Linked DNA regions of Anolis sagrei. Each later gene encodes a partner of the first gene's protein in a complex. Links are inferred from orthologs where the notes say so. Each region holds a gene or a part of one and is shown on either strand. Other genes may lie near its edges.

What was found. The genes of interacting proteins can lie anywhere in the genome.
Region 2: the proteins of NMUR2 (region 1) and NMU are in contact, whole or in part, in a cryo-EM structure (PDB 7XK8), measured with the Homo sapiens proteins. The link is inferred for Anolis sagrei from reciprocal best matches to the Homo sapiens genes NMUR2 and NMU. Residues at the interface, in NP_064552.3 of Homo sapiens: Ser42, His43, Gly98, Glu102, Glu105, Met106, Trp107, Arg108, Asn109, Tyr110, Pro111, Thr123, Phe126, Glu127, Asn181, His185, Pro199, Ser201, Thr203, Cys204, Val206, Tyr213, Phe284, Arg288, Phe291, Glu295, Trp297, Ser298, Glu299, Ala302; in NP_006672.1 of Homo sapiens: Glu146, Phe152, Ala153, Ser154, Gln155, Gly158, Tyr159, Phe160, Leu161, Phe162, Arg163, Pro164, Arg165, Asn166.

What each region holds. Positions count from the first base shown.
Region 1 is NC_090022.1:83,702,493-83,710,136, reverse strand, and holds the start of NMUR2 (neuromedin-U receptor 2), read right to left. Parts: upstream 3,048-7,644; 5' UTR 2,835-3,047; coding exon 2,115-2,834; intron 1-2,114. UniProt on the Homo sapiens protein: Receptor for the neuromedin-U and neuromedin-S neuropeptides.
Region 2 is NC_090025.1:73,560,709-73,567,630, reverse strand, and holds the start of NMU (neuromedin-U), read right to left. Parts: upstream 3,060-6,922; 5' UTR 2,930-3,059; coding exon 2,767-2,929; intron 1-2,766.

The sequences.
Region 1 (7,644 bases):
TCCTGGCTAGGGAGAATCTCGGTTATTAAAATGAGTGTGTTACCTAGGATGATCTTCCTATTCCAGACGTTACCGATCATTAAAAACAACACATGCTTCAAGAAATGGAACAAAGATATTCTGAGTTTCGTCTGGGATGGGAAGAAACCCAGGGTCAAATTTAAAACCCTTACTGATTCGAAAAGCAGAGGTGGTCTGGCAATGCCGGACCTATTGCTGTACTTTGAGGCATGCGCCTTATCCTGGACTGTGGCATGGGCTTCACTAGAGCCCAAGAGGATTCTTACTCTGGAAGGCTGGGATACGAGAAGGGGATGGCACGCATACCTTTGGTATGAGAAAGACAAAGTAGAAAGATCATTTAATAATCATTATATCAGATCAGCGCTCCTAAAGGTATGGAAAAAATATAAAAATTATTTTTATACGAAAACACCCATGTGGGTGTCGCCATCGGAGGCCTTCCACAAGAAAGAACTACCCAGAAACAAATGGTTGAACTATCACCAATTATTAAAGAAAGAACATAATCATTGGTGTCTCAAATCTATGGACGAGCTTAGGGAGTCGGAAGAGGAAGTAGGTTGGTTCCACTACTTACAAGCAAAAGAATGCTACAAGGAAGATTGTAAAAAAGGATTCAATGCGTCTGAAACTGTATGGGAAAAAGTAATGAAAAAAGAGAAAAAGGTGATTACGACATTATATAGATGCCTGCTCGAATGGAGTAATGAACAAGAATTGATAAAAGAAACTATGATCAAATGGGCGAAAGACTTGGGAAGATCTATAAGACTCAGAGAATGGGAGTTAGCCTGGAAAAAGACCAACAAATTTACTAAAGCTACTACCATCATAGAAAACTCCTACAAAATGTTCTACAGATGGCATTTAACACCAGCTTTGCTATCTAAGATCAATAAAAACCAGAACAATCTATGTTGGAAATGTAGGAGAGAGAAAGGAACTTACTATCACATGTTCTGGGACTGCAAGGAAATTCAAAAATTCTGGCAAGCTATCCATAAACACACACAAAAGATAATTAAAACAAGTCTAACAATGAAGCCGGAACACTATTTACTTAACATAACAGACCTCTGCTTGAACAAAAATGAGGAAAAAATATTCTTCTACCTTGCTTCGGGAGCCAGGATACTAATAGCCCAAAAGTGGAAAACCAAAGAAACCCCCACGGCCGACGAATGGATCAAAAAAATTATAGAATTCATGGATTTGGATAGACTTTCGTGCTTAATGAAAAATGAGAATAAGGAAACCATGACCAACTGGAACCAATGTAAGGAATACTTAAAGAACATTCAGAAATAATAGACTAACAATAATAAGGATAACTTATATAAATAACAGAAAATAGGGAATTTATCCCATGTTCCCTTTCGGAATTTAAACCAATAACCGTAAATTGACTTTCCTCATAATATACTACCCCTCTGTGACTCAAACGGAAGTGACCAGCAACACATCCCTCCTTAACCCCCTCCCTGACCCCCCTTTCCTTTCCCCCCACTACTACCCTCATGTCTTCTACCACACCTTTGGCCCAATATCTTAGTATTTCCAAGCTTTCCTTTTCTCAAGTATTGTTCCCCCTCTTTCGATGTTATAATTGAAAATTAATAAAGAATATTGAAACCCGAAGAAATATGCTAGAGTACAAACTAAATTTGTAATTGAGTCATAGTATAAACAGATTGAAAAAGCTGGTGCCTGGAATAATTTTCCAGTGGGTCTTATTCATATTTGGACTTGGAGGGATGTAGAAGCTAAGAAATGCACATAGTACACTAAATAAAAATTATGGAACATGAGTGAGGGGGGTGGGGTGGGAATGAAACATCAATTTAACATGTCAACACAATATAGATATAGATATAGATATATACACACACACACAGAGAGAGAGAGAGAGTTTTAGGAATTTTTGGATCTACTACTCTAGAATTCCTCAGACAGCATGACCACTGTTGGCTGGGGAATTCTGGGAAGTCTGTTTAAAAAAATGAAAACCTTTCTTTCCAAACTCTGATTGACATGATATAAAATGCCATGGATTATGAGAGAAAACTTCACATATTTTAGTCAGGACTCACTTTCAACCCCATCAGGCAGTACAGCACACTGATGACACTCATCGGCAGGACATAAAAGAGAAAAGATGTCAGCTGGATGATGCAGTTGTAGATCCACATGGGCTTGACCACAGCACATGTCTCAGAGGCTGGGACCTCTGTGTGGTTTGGAAAAAACTGCTGCACAATGCCGTGGGTGCTGGTGTTGGGGAGAGAGAAAAGGATGGACAGGAGCCATAGGGCAATAATGATCCTCAAAGCACGTCGCCTTGTGCTCTTCAGTTTGGCCCGGAAGGGATGAAGGATGGCAATATATCTCTCCACACTCACTGTTGTGACATTCAGAATGGAGGCAAAGCATACAGTCTCAAAGAGGGCTGTCTTAAAATAGCACCCAACTGGTCCAAACAAGAAGGGGTAGTTGCTCCACATTTCATAGATTTCCAAAGGCATTCCCAAGAGCAAGAGCAACAAGTCTGAAATAGCAAGACTGAAGAGATAGTAGTTAGTGGGAGTCTTCATGTTTCGGTGCTTAAGAATCACAAGGCACACTAAAAGGTTGCCGGACACTCCAACTATGAAAATCATAGCATAAACCCAAGACATAGGTAGGAAGACAGGGCTCCGTTTGGGTCCATATAAAAAGGCAAGATACTCCTCGGTGCTATTGAAGTATCTCCTTACAGGCTCTATTTCTTCTTCCCTTTGGTGAGGACACCGGGAGATGTTCATCCAATCCATTGTAGGTACTTGTATAGGTCCAATTTCACTTAGGTTGTCTGAGATGTGCTTGTTTCAGATTGCTCTCTATTCGAAACAGAAATAGGAGGGAGAGGGAGAGACAGGGAGAGGAGGAAGGAAAAAGAGGCAGGGGGAACAAAAGCCAGAGAATGTCCTTTCAGATTTGAAGCTTAAAAGCACTGAGAGAAGTGCGTGTGTGTCTGTTCATGTGTATGTCTGCCTTTGCTATTACAATCATCCCCCTAAAGAGTCCTTTCAACAGCAAGCTCCTCCTTTCACATATACTCATTGGCTAGCTACATGAATAAAATTATACGATGATTGAGCTGGTCTTGGCTACTTGCATCAGTGTTCTCAAGAGAGAGATATATACTGAGCAGTTGGTATAGGTGAGGAGAATGGAGACTTCTTTCCAAAACCTTTAATCTAAGATGTCTACAAAATTCTGATCCTTATTAGAGACTGAGAAACCAGGGATTGAGGTGATGCAGGCTGAGTTTAAAAGCTGAATCAAAAGTTATTCTAATATGATTTTTTTTCTTGCTGGAAGCCTGTGAGTACACATCACAAACAGTGCAAACAGCACACTGTTGAGTGCAGTGAGTGCAAACAGAACACTGCCTTGTGTTCTGTTTGCAAACTGCCTCTATGGGTTTGAATGTTGTGTATTGTACAGCAAACAAAAATAGCAATGGAATAGTTTTTTCTAATATGTATTACTTTGAACAGTAATACGTATTTTATATTGCTAGTTTTTTAATATTTGCAATACATGCATGAAAATGGAAATTCACTACAATACCACAGATCTGAAGAAGCAATCATCCTGTAAAAACAGGTGGTTTTTTAATAAAGCAAACTCAAATTGGAAATGAAAAACCTCACATTAAAATAGCACTTTTCCCAAATGCCAAGAATTGCTCTGGTATGTTGTGTCTGAATGGTTTAATGAATTATACATTTCATCATTTGCAATGCAATAAAGTATGACAGGGAGCCAGCATGATGCAGATCTTTGAGCATTGGACTACAGCTTTAGAGATCAGGGTCCAAATCCATACTCTGCCATGGAAACCTGTTGGGTGACCTTGGAAAAGTCAAACATTTTCAGCCCATAGGTGGACTCCTTCTGAACAAAACTCACTAAGAGAACTATATGAACTTAGACTCACCATACATCAGAAATGACTTGAAAGCACAAAACAAGTAACAAAAGGGGTAAAAAAAAGTTCCTATCAGTAAAACTCAGGTACCAAAGGAGAAATGGGATTGGAGGCAGCAATGTGTTTGATCTGCTATGTCCAGTCAAAACCTGACAGTTTTCCGTCTCTGCCTATGGAAAGTCCTCTTCTTGTAAAATAATAATAATAATAAGAAGAAGAATAAGAATAATAAGAATAACAATTTTTATTTATACCCCACCACCATCTCCCCAAAGGGGACTCAGGGCAGCTAACATGAGGCCAAGCCCAAAGGTACATTACAGCAAAATAAAATGCATAATGCGGACAACAAAAATACATCAGAATAAAATACATACAGTAGCAAAATAAAATTAATAAATCAAATTGACATAATGTAAAATCAAACACAATGGGCAAGCCAAATGGATGAGGTAAAATGATAAAACCCTGGATGAGGTAGAAATAGAAAAATGTGATTTAGAGGAGCCCAAAAAGGATGAACAGTGGGTTTAGGTTTTTAGTTTAGGATGGGGGAAAGTGCATCATAGGACAACACTGTAGATGGAACAAATGGTTACTCTCCAAAGGCATATTGGAAGAGCCAAGTTTTCAAATTTTTCTTGAAGGCTACTAAGGTGGGGTCTTGCCTCATCTCACCAGGTAGTGAGTTCCATAGTCGGGGGTCACAGTGGAGAAGGCTTTCTCCCTCGTTCCCACAAGTCTTGCCTGTGATAGAGGAAGGAGTGAAAGGAGGGCCTCACCAAAGGATCAGAGGGATCATGCAGGTTGGTGGTAGGAGATGCGGTCATGAAGGTACAAGGGTCCCAAACCGTTCAGGGCTTTATAGGTAATAACCTGCACCTTGACCGCTCCCTGTAATTTGCCCCAGTTATTAATCTGGCTGCTGAACGGTGGACCAATTGAAGTTTCCGGGCCATCTCCAAGGGAAGCCCCATGTAGAGTGCATTGCAATAGTCCAGTCTAGAGGTAACTAAGGAATGGACCACCATGGTCAAGTGTCATATGGTCTGCAGTTGATGGTGGTTGGTGATGGAAGGGTTAATGTGAGTATTAGTTCTAGAGGGTTTGGTGATCTGTAAGTGGGAGTTCATGGGTGAAAGCAATTAAGGGTGGAGGTAAGCAAGAGATGGGTTGCAGCTGGGTGTTTCTGGATATAAGGAACTAGCCTTGGGACTGATCTTTGGGAGAAAAAGTATCTGTTGTATTTTGGTGGTGGATGCTGTTCGTTTTTCCCCCAGGTCTGTTAGATTTTTCGGTATCCTGACCTGTCTCCTGTAACCTTGGAATCCTGGAACCTTGAACCTTTGGACTGGCTTTTGACTACGGTATAGACTCTTAATCCCTGGACTTTGTTTATTGAACTCTCGGCATTTGACAATTGGACTGGACCCTTTTGACTACAAAGTTATTTTTTCTATCAGTTTTTGTTTATTCTGTGGCTGCGTGCTATCTTTGTGTTTTATATTTTGGACTACAAAAACAGCCAGCAAGTAAGTGCTGTTTTAATTAAACTGTTTGTTAAAACTGGGAGTTCTGATTAATCTCTACCTAAACAAGGTAGAGCCCTAGCAACGTGACATCAAGTCAGACTTCATGAGGTATGGTCGCAGCTGGTGCACGAGTTTTAATTGTGTGAAGGCCCTCCCAGCCACCGCCGACACCTGCGCATCAAATGTCAGTGCTGAATCTAGGAGGACCCCCAAGCTGCGGACCTGTGTCTTCAGGGGGAGTGCAACCCCGTCAAGCGCAGGTTGCCATAGAATACCCCAGTCAGATGTACAACTGCCTGGAGGACCTCTGTCTTGTCAGGATTGATCTTCAGTCTATTCATCATCATCCAGATCATCACAGCAGTCAGGCACTGGTTCAGCACCTGAGGGGCTTCCTTGGATTCTGATGGAAAAGAGTAGTGGAGTTGGGTGTCATTTGCATAGAGATGGCCCCAAGCTCCAAAACTCTGGATGACCTCTCCCAGCGGTTTCATGTAGAAGTTAAAAAGCATGGGGGGGGGGGGGCAGAATGGAACCTTGTGGGACTCCACAGATCAATGGTCAGGGGTCTGAACAGGTGTCCCCCATCTTCACCAACTGAAAGAACCAGAGCCATGGCAAAACTGTGCCCCCAAGTCCCATCCCGGCGAGTTGTCCCAGAAGGATACCATGGTCGACGGTATCGAAAGCCGCTGAGATGTCTAAGAGAAACAGCAGGGTCACACTCCCCGAAAAACAGATCACGGTCCAGCTGAATTGCATAACCCTAGTGGATATTAATGTGGCCTAATAAAACCTGATAGTGTCTCATCCCTGCTCTGAGTAAAGCTTTCTTCTTGTAACATAATCAGTTCCTAGAGGCCAGCTGGAGACTTTGTCAGATAGTTGGCTGAATTAGCGATCTACTAGAGGAAGGAATTAGGGACTTTGGTGAAAAGTTGGTTGCTAGACTGGCACCTAGGGTTATGTAGGGTGCTGGGAAGAGAAGTGGAATGGGCCTTGGTGTGAGATCTGCAGAAATCTCTGCACACAAAGATGGGAGGCATGACAGACCCACCCATTGAAATGACTGGTTATTGACATAGCATGACAAACAATGTATGACAGTGGACCTTGATGTCTTACTGCTTTAATGAGTTGGGGAGGTTTTTACAATATCTTCGGCTTCAATAATTTCTTCTGTGCTAGGGAGGCTCCTCTGTTGGCTTGGGATCTGCAAATAGCTAATAACATGTAGTTCATGTTCACTTCATCAGATGTGTCTCCTTGTTATTTCTGAGTGGGTGTAATGAGGCTCAGAGTTGGCAGTATGTAGTATATTCTGAATTCAGTAAATCGTGGGTTTCAGTAAGTACACATGACAATTAGCAAACTTGTTTACTACAACCTTAAGTTCCACTCCAGCAAGACTAGTAACAGAGATCACAGTTGACAGGGTTTCATAGCCAAAATATTAAGAAACAATTTATTTTGTAAATTGGTTGAAATCAGAATGTTAGCTTTCTATACTTGTTTTTAAAATTGGAAATTATCTTATTGTTATAGCCTATGATACGATTCTTCCTACTGTCTTTGTGCAATTTTAATGTTTCATTCAATATACTGCCGCTAAGCAGATGTGTACCTACTGAATACTTGGTTGGGAATCCCAAAAAAGCCTCCAGATAAAAGCAAGGAATAATAAATGCATTTTGTACAGCTAAATTATGCAAGTGGCCTCTTGTGTTCTAGCTCACAGCTGGTTTCAAAGCATATTGTCTATTCCTAGTTTCAAAATTAGGATGAACAATTGGGAAAATTGTCAAGAGCTGAAATTACTGCTTATGGTTCATTTTATATGGACATTGATATAAAATAAATGTTGAGGGTTGCTAACACTCTAACTTCTGATTCAGTTAGATCATGAGCAAAATCATCAACATCAGCTTAGGCAATGTACAATACATTTTTCAGCATTGGTATAAAATAATGATGAAGGCAATGGCATGTATAATAGAAGTAAACAAACAGCATACATTTAGGACCTAATCATGTGATGGAGGGGGAAAGCGGAGGGAATTGACTTATTTCATTTCCTACCATTGAGGTCCCATGTCTTACAATCAGTTGCCATCG
Region 2 (6,922 bases), on another chromosome or scaffold:
GGTTTGAAAGTGTTATTTCCTGTTTAAATGGGCAGTACTTATTTTGAAAATAATAGTTCTACTTCAGAAACTTTGTTTTTGTGGCTGCCACAAATTAGGTCAAATTGGTTGAAACTTAAAAATATATTCCTTGAAAAACATAGCAAAAATGTGCTGCAGGAGGTCCGTCTAAAACAAAATATGGGCAGTTTAATAAACTTGCCCCATGTTTTTATGATAGAACCAATTAGGAAACGACATTTATAACCCAGGAACAAAACTGGTGTTGCACAGTGTTATTGGGTTGATTGAGAGTTCTGGATTTTGTTTAATAGTTTCAGTTGTTAGGTTGGATATCTCTTTTGGTTGTTAGAGGTATCAGGCTCGATCTACTCTGCTCTATACCCCAGGTTCTGATCCCAGATTATCTGATTTGAACTGAATTCTATGAGTCTGCACTGCCAAATAATATAATCTGGGATAAGCAGATAATCTGGGATCAGATCCTGGGATATAGGGCAGTGTAGATCCACCCTCTGATCTTACAAGCAGTTTTGTAGTATTATATAGATCATATCATAATTAACAATAATCATATCGTAATTAAAAATAATCACATCATAACTAAAATAATTATAATTAAATATAATTATATATAGAGGGAGGGGGTGAGAGAGCAGCTCATTGGAAGGAAGGATATTAGAGGCAAAGATGAAGTATTTTGGCCACATCATGAGAAGACAGGAAAGCTTAGAGAATACAATTATGCTGGGGAAAATGGAAGGAAAAAGGAAGAGGGGCTGACCAAGGGCACGATGAATGGATGGATGGTACCCTTGAAGTGACTGGCTTGACCTTGAAGGAGCTGGGGGTGGTGATGGCCGACAGGGAGCTCTGGCGTGGGCTGGTCCATGAGGTCACGAAGAGTCGGAAGTGACTGAACGAATGAACAACAACTCTCTCTCTCTCTCTCTACACACCCACCCACACACACACACACATATATGTATCATATCATAATTTTTAATTATGATAATTTTTAATTATATATATATATAGAGAGAGAGAGAGAGAGAGAGAGATGATGTATTGTGATATGATCTAGGTCAGTGGTTCTCAATCTTCCTAATGCCATGACCACTTAATACATTTCCTCATCTTGTGGTGATCCCCAACCATAAAATTATTTTTGTTGCTACTTCATAACTGTAATTTTGCTACCATTATGAATCGTAATATAAATATCTGATATGCAGGATGTATTTTCATTCACTGGACCAAATTATGCACAAATACCCAATACAATCAAATTTAAAAAATGGTGGGGTTGGGGGGATTGATTTTGTCATTTGGGAGTTGTAGTTGCTGGGACTTATAGTTCACCTACAATCAAAGAGCATTCTGAACTCCATCAACAATGGAATAGAACCAAACTTGGCACACAGAACTCCCATGTTGTTGTTGTTGTTCATTCGTTCAGTCGTCTCCGACTCTTCATGACTTCATGGACCAGTCCACGCCAGAGCTCCCTGTCGGCCGTCACCACCCCCAGCTCCTTCAAGGTCCCATGACCAACAGAAAATACTGGAAGGTTTTGACAGGCATTGATCTTGAGTTTTGGAGTTGTAGTTCACCTACATCCAGAGAGCACGGTGGACTCAAACAATGATGGATCCAGACCAAACTTGGTATGAATACTCAAAGTTCCCAAATGTGAACACTGATGGAGTTTGGGGAAAATAGACCTTGACATTTGGGAGTTGTAGTTGCTGGGATTTATAGTTCACCTACAATCAAAGAGCATTCTGGACCCCACCAATGATAAAATTATGCCAAACTTCCCACACAGAGCCTCCATGACCAACAGAAAATACTGTGTTTTCTGATGGTCTTTGGTGACCCCTCTGACACCCCCTCACGACCTCTCCAGGGGTCCCGACCCCCAGGTTGAGAAACACTGATCTAGGTGATATTACAAACCTGCTTGTAGGATCTGAGGCTGGATCTACACTGCCCTATATTCCAGGATCTGATCCCAGATTACCTGTTTATCCCAGATTATCTGGCAGTGTAGACTCATAGAATTCAGTTCAAATCAGATAATCTGGAATCAGAACCTAGGATATAGGACAGTGTAGATCCAGCCTCAGATCTTACAAGCAGTTTTGTAGTATTATCTAAATTATATCCTAATTAAGAATAATCATATCATAATTAATATAATTATAACTAAGTATATATATATATATATATATATATATGAATTTTAATTATGATCTGATCTAGGTGATATTATCAAACTGCTTGTAGGATATGAGGCTGGATCTACACTGCCTTATATTCCAGGATCTGATCCCAGATTATCTGTTTATCCCAGATTATCTGGCAGTGTAGAATTCAGTTCAAATCAGATAATCTGGAATCAGAACTTGGGATATAGGGCAGTGCAGATCCAGCCTAATACCTCTAACAATAAAAAGAGATATCCAACCTAACAACTGAAACTATTAAACAAAAACTAGAACTCTCAAATCAGATAATCTGGAATCAGATTCTGGGATATAGGGCAGTGTAGATCCAGCCTGATACCTCTAACAACCAAAAGTGACATAAATATACATATACATACAAATGCATCCATATAGATCTCAGAAGCAAGCAAGCCCAGGAGAAAAGATAAGGAGGGACACTTGGAGGGAGGAGTAGATCTCTAGACAGAAGGAGCGCCTGAAAGAGGGAGAAAGGCGTGGGGTGGCGAAGGGAGGGGAGGGTGGGAAGAGCCCTTACCTTTGCAGGAGCTGACCCCAAAGGCGAGGAGGAAGAGGAGCAGCCCCCAAGGGGTGCCCGACCCGAGGGGCATCTTCCTGGGGCGGCAAAGGCTTCTCCCGCCCTCCTCCGAGGCTGCCAAGGAAGGCTGGGGTCGCCAACAAGCGCCCGCCCGGCTTTGCATGGTTCCTGGGCACCTCTCTGCCTTTGGCGCGCTTTTTGCCGCCGCTGCTTTCCTCCCGGCTTTGCAACTCCCAGCCAAACAGAGCGGACTTTTAAATCTCCCGGACAGGAGGAGGAGGAGGAAGAGGAGGGCAGAGCTTGGCTCAGAGTCACGCTCTGTCAGAAAGGCAACTGTCTAAACCTGGTCACGCACACACCCTCCAAAGAGTTCTCCTATTTCTCAAATTATTTAGTCACCAGCTCTAGCTAGCAGTTGGTAGGGAAAGGGACTAAACGGCTTTCCCCCATTTTTTTTACCACATATGAGGGTTTTTCACTTCTCCCAATCCCCTTCCTCAAAATATGAAGACTTCCACCTATCTCAACATCTGCCACCAGATGTGAGGGCTTGCATTTATCCCACCTACACCTACCAAATATGAAGGCTTCCACTTATCCCAACCCTTGCCAGCAAACAGGGCTTCTATTTATCCCAAACACAGCTATGAGGGATTCCGTTTCTCCCAACCAAGCTACCAGATGTGAAGGCTTCCATCTAACCCAACCAAGCTACCTCATGCGAGGGCTTCCATTTATCCCAAATACAGCTACCAAATATGAGGGCTTCCATTTCTCTAAACCAAGCTACCAAATGTGAAAGCTTCCATTCAACACAACCAAGCTACCTCATGTGAGGGCTTCCATTTATCCCACACACAGTTACCAAATATGAGGGCTTCCATTTATCCCAACCAAGCTACCAAATGTGAGGGCTTCCATTTGTCCCCAAATAGAGCTACCTCATGTGAGGGCTTCCGTTTATCCCAACCAAGCTATCAAATGGGAAGGCTTCCGTTTAACCCAACTACAGCTACCAAATATGAGGACCTCCATTTCTCCCACCCACAGCTACCAAATGGGAAGGCTTCCATTTAACCTAACCAAGCTACCTCATGTGAGGGTTTCCATTTCTCCAAACCAAGCAACAAAATGTGAAGGCTTCTATCTAACCCAACCAAGCTACCTCATGTGAGGGCTTCCATTTATCCCACACACAGTTACCAAATATGAAAGCTCCCATTTCTCCCAACCAAGCAACCAAGTGTGAGGGCTTCCATTTATCCCAACCAAGCAAACAAATGTGAAGGCTTTCATTTATCCCTACCAAGCTACCAAATGTGAAGGCTTCCATTTAACCAACCAAGCTATCTTGTGAGAGGGCTTCCATTTATTCCAAATACAGCTACCAAATATGAGGGCTTCCATTTCTCCCAACCAAGCAACCAAATGTGAAGGCTTCCATTTAACCCAACCAAGCTACCTCATATGCTGGCTTCCATTTATCCCAAATACAACTACCTCATGTGATGGCTTCAATTTATCCCAAATACACCTACAATATATGAGGGCTTCCATTTCTCCCAACCAAACTACCAAACGTGAGGGGTTCCATTTTATCACCCACAGCTACCAAATGTGAGGGCTTCCATTTATCCCACGCAAACTACCAAATGTGAGGGCTTCCATTTATTCCTCTAAGCCCTTGTGGTTCTGTGTGAGATTTTATTTATCTTCTTTTTCCACTGGGCACCCCACTCTTGATTCTGAACTGCCACCATAGACACCTTGTCTGAACTTGGCTTTCCAAGAGACCAAAGCATTTCATGCAAAAAGATGTATTTATCAGAAATCGAACATGAGATTAGATTTGTTTTTAATGCATCGAAATGACATATTTCCCTCTCATACACATCTCCTTGCTAAGTCTGACTCTGAGTCTTAGTTCTCTTCTATCTCAGATCCTAACTTATAATCATTCACATTCTGCATCCCACTAACTAATTTCTAATACTGACAGACCCAATTCTCACCAGACTAACAACCATATGCATCTTCACTTTTACAATCCCCTCAGAAAACCAGCTGATCACAAGTCCCAATAATCCATGCCTCACATGGAACATTCCATGCCTGACAGATCACCAAATTATTCCATCTACAACATGAATACACAACCATGTTTTACATTAATGCAGCAAACAAATGTAATAACAAAGAACTAATTCAGAAGATCACAGGGTTAACACCTGAGTCTGGAAGTTAACCATCCCCAAAACTGGATTGAAGGTTACAATATCATGAAAAGAGCTGTTGGTCCCATCAGTCTTTTGTGACTAGCACATGTAGTGTAGCAAGCATGGAACAAGGTGATGAATCCTCAGGTGGCAAAACAGACCTTGGTTCTTCAATACCTATTCAGTGCTCTACGAGAGAATGTGCACTAGAAAAAATGATTCTATTTCTCTTTCAGTTCAATTATGTGATAGTTTTCTGCTTGCAAGGAGATTCATTTCCCAGGGATGAACATTTTAAAAATGTCATTCTGATATGATCCAGGATTATTGCATCATTCAATGTTATGTGTAGACCAGACTTCCCAAGCAGAAGGTGGTAGAGATGCTCCAGGTGAGAAATTTCTTCCATTTCTATATTCATTTGCTTCAGAGATTTCCTCTTTCATCGTCCCTTATCAGCATATCCAATTGTAACAAATGCTAAGAGCTGCAGTCTAGCAACATGTGGAGGGACCCCATAGATCACCCCTGATTTACTGTATTCCTATTCATAAAGACTCCATCTGTGCGCACATTTCAGCCACCCCATCCCAGTTGTTCTCCAGGTTTGTTGGACTAGAGAGGTGGTTTCCAACCTTTGGTCATCCAGTTATTCTGTACTTCAACTCCCAGAAATCCCAGCCAGTTTACCAGCTGTTAGGAATTGTGGGAACTGAAGTCCAAAATACCCGGAGGTCCAAAGGTTGGGAACCACTGGACTAGAGCTTCCCTAAATTTGCAGTCACCTAAGGAGCTGTCTGGGGGTTTATGGAAATTGGTGTTCAAGACACATATGAAGAAGATCCTCAAAAAATCCGTTCCTGTTATGGATATAAAAATTCTGGTGTTGTATGCAAATACCTATATGTTTCTACAAGGGAGAACAGATTGGACATTAGGATTTTAATAGGGAAAAGACAGGAAGAAACACTGAAATCTCTTGCACAACTCTGCAGTCCTTCCTATAATTCTCTCTGGCCCATTTTATAGCTACTATTAAACTTTTTCTTTAAAAAAATCTTTTGATGTCACATCTAGTTTAGCCCTAAGCAAGTTGTGGGTGTAGGTTGCATTGAACATAGTGAGACATACTTCTAAAAATGGGCATAAGTTTGGGATTCATGAAAAGTGTCTTTGGGGAAGGTTTGCAAAGAGTAAGCATCCGAAATTACATGTAAAAAGTTATATATTCACACGCACACCCCAACATTGGATCCTAACTTATGAAAGGAAATGAAAAGCATCATAGTGAAAGATAGTTCCAGAGATCCCCATCAGTCATTACTAATCAGAGTAGACATCAAAGGCCTGGAGAAACAATTCTGAGCTAGTTGGACTCAGTATCAGTTTTACAGAATTAGCCCAAGTAAGGAAGTTGTTGTGAGCCCAAATTTTGGCAGTAACCAAGTCAGAGACTATGAGAGGCTACTGGTTTGCATTTTTATTAATGTACTTTTTATTTTAAAACTAATTTTAAAATTAATTTACTGTGTAATTACAATATGTATTATTTATATGTAACGGCATCCAATTGTGCCAGATGTAAGCCGCCCTGAGTCCGTCCCCCCCCCGGAGGGGGGGAGGGTTGAGAAGGGCAGGGTACAAATGTTTGAAATAAATAATAAACAATAAATTAATTAAGCAATGAACCAGAGAATTCCGAATCTAAAACATCAAAGATCCCCAAATCTGAAATTATCATGGCTCCTAAGCAATTGTAGCCTTAAAATCAATTTCCATTGAGAGGCAAGCATGCCACTAAGCCAGAGTGACAACATGAGATGGCAAAGTTGTAGATGTCAGGCCAAAATACTTACTTTAAGGCTTTGCATTCTATGTTTACCTGCTGAAAGATGTCAAATACAATGAATAGGAAAGGACTTCTGTTGATACAGTTGCAT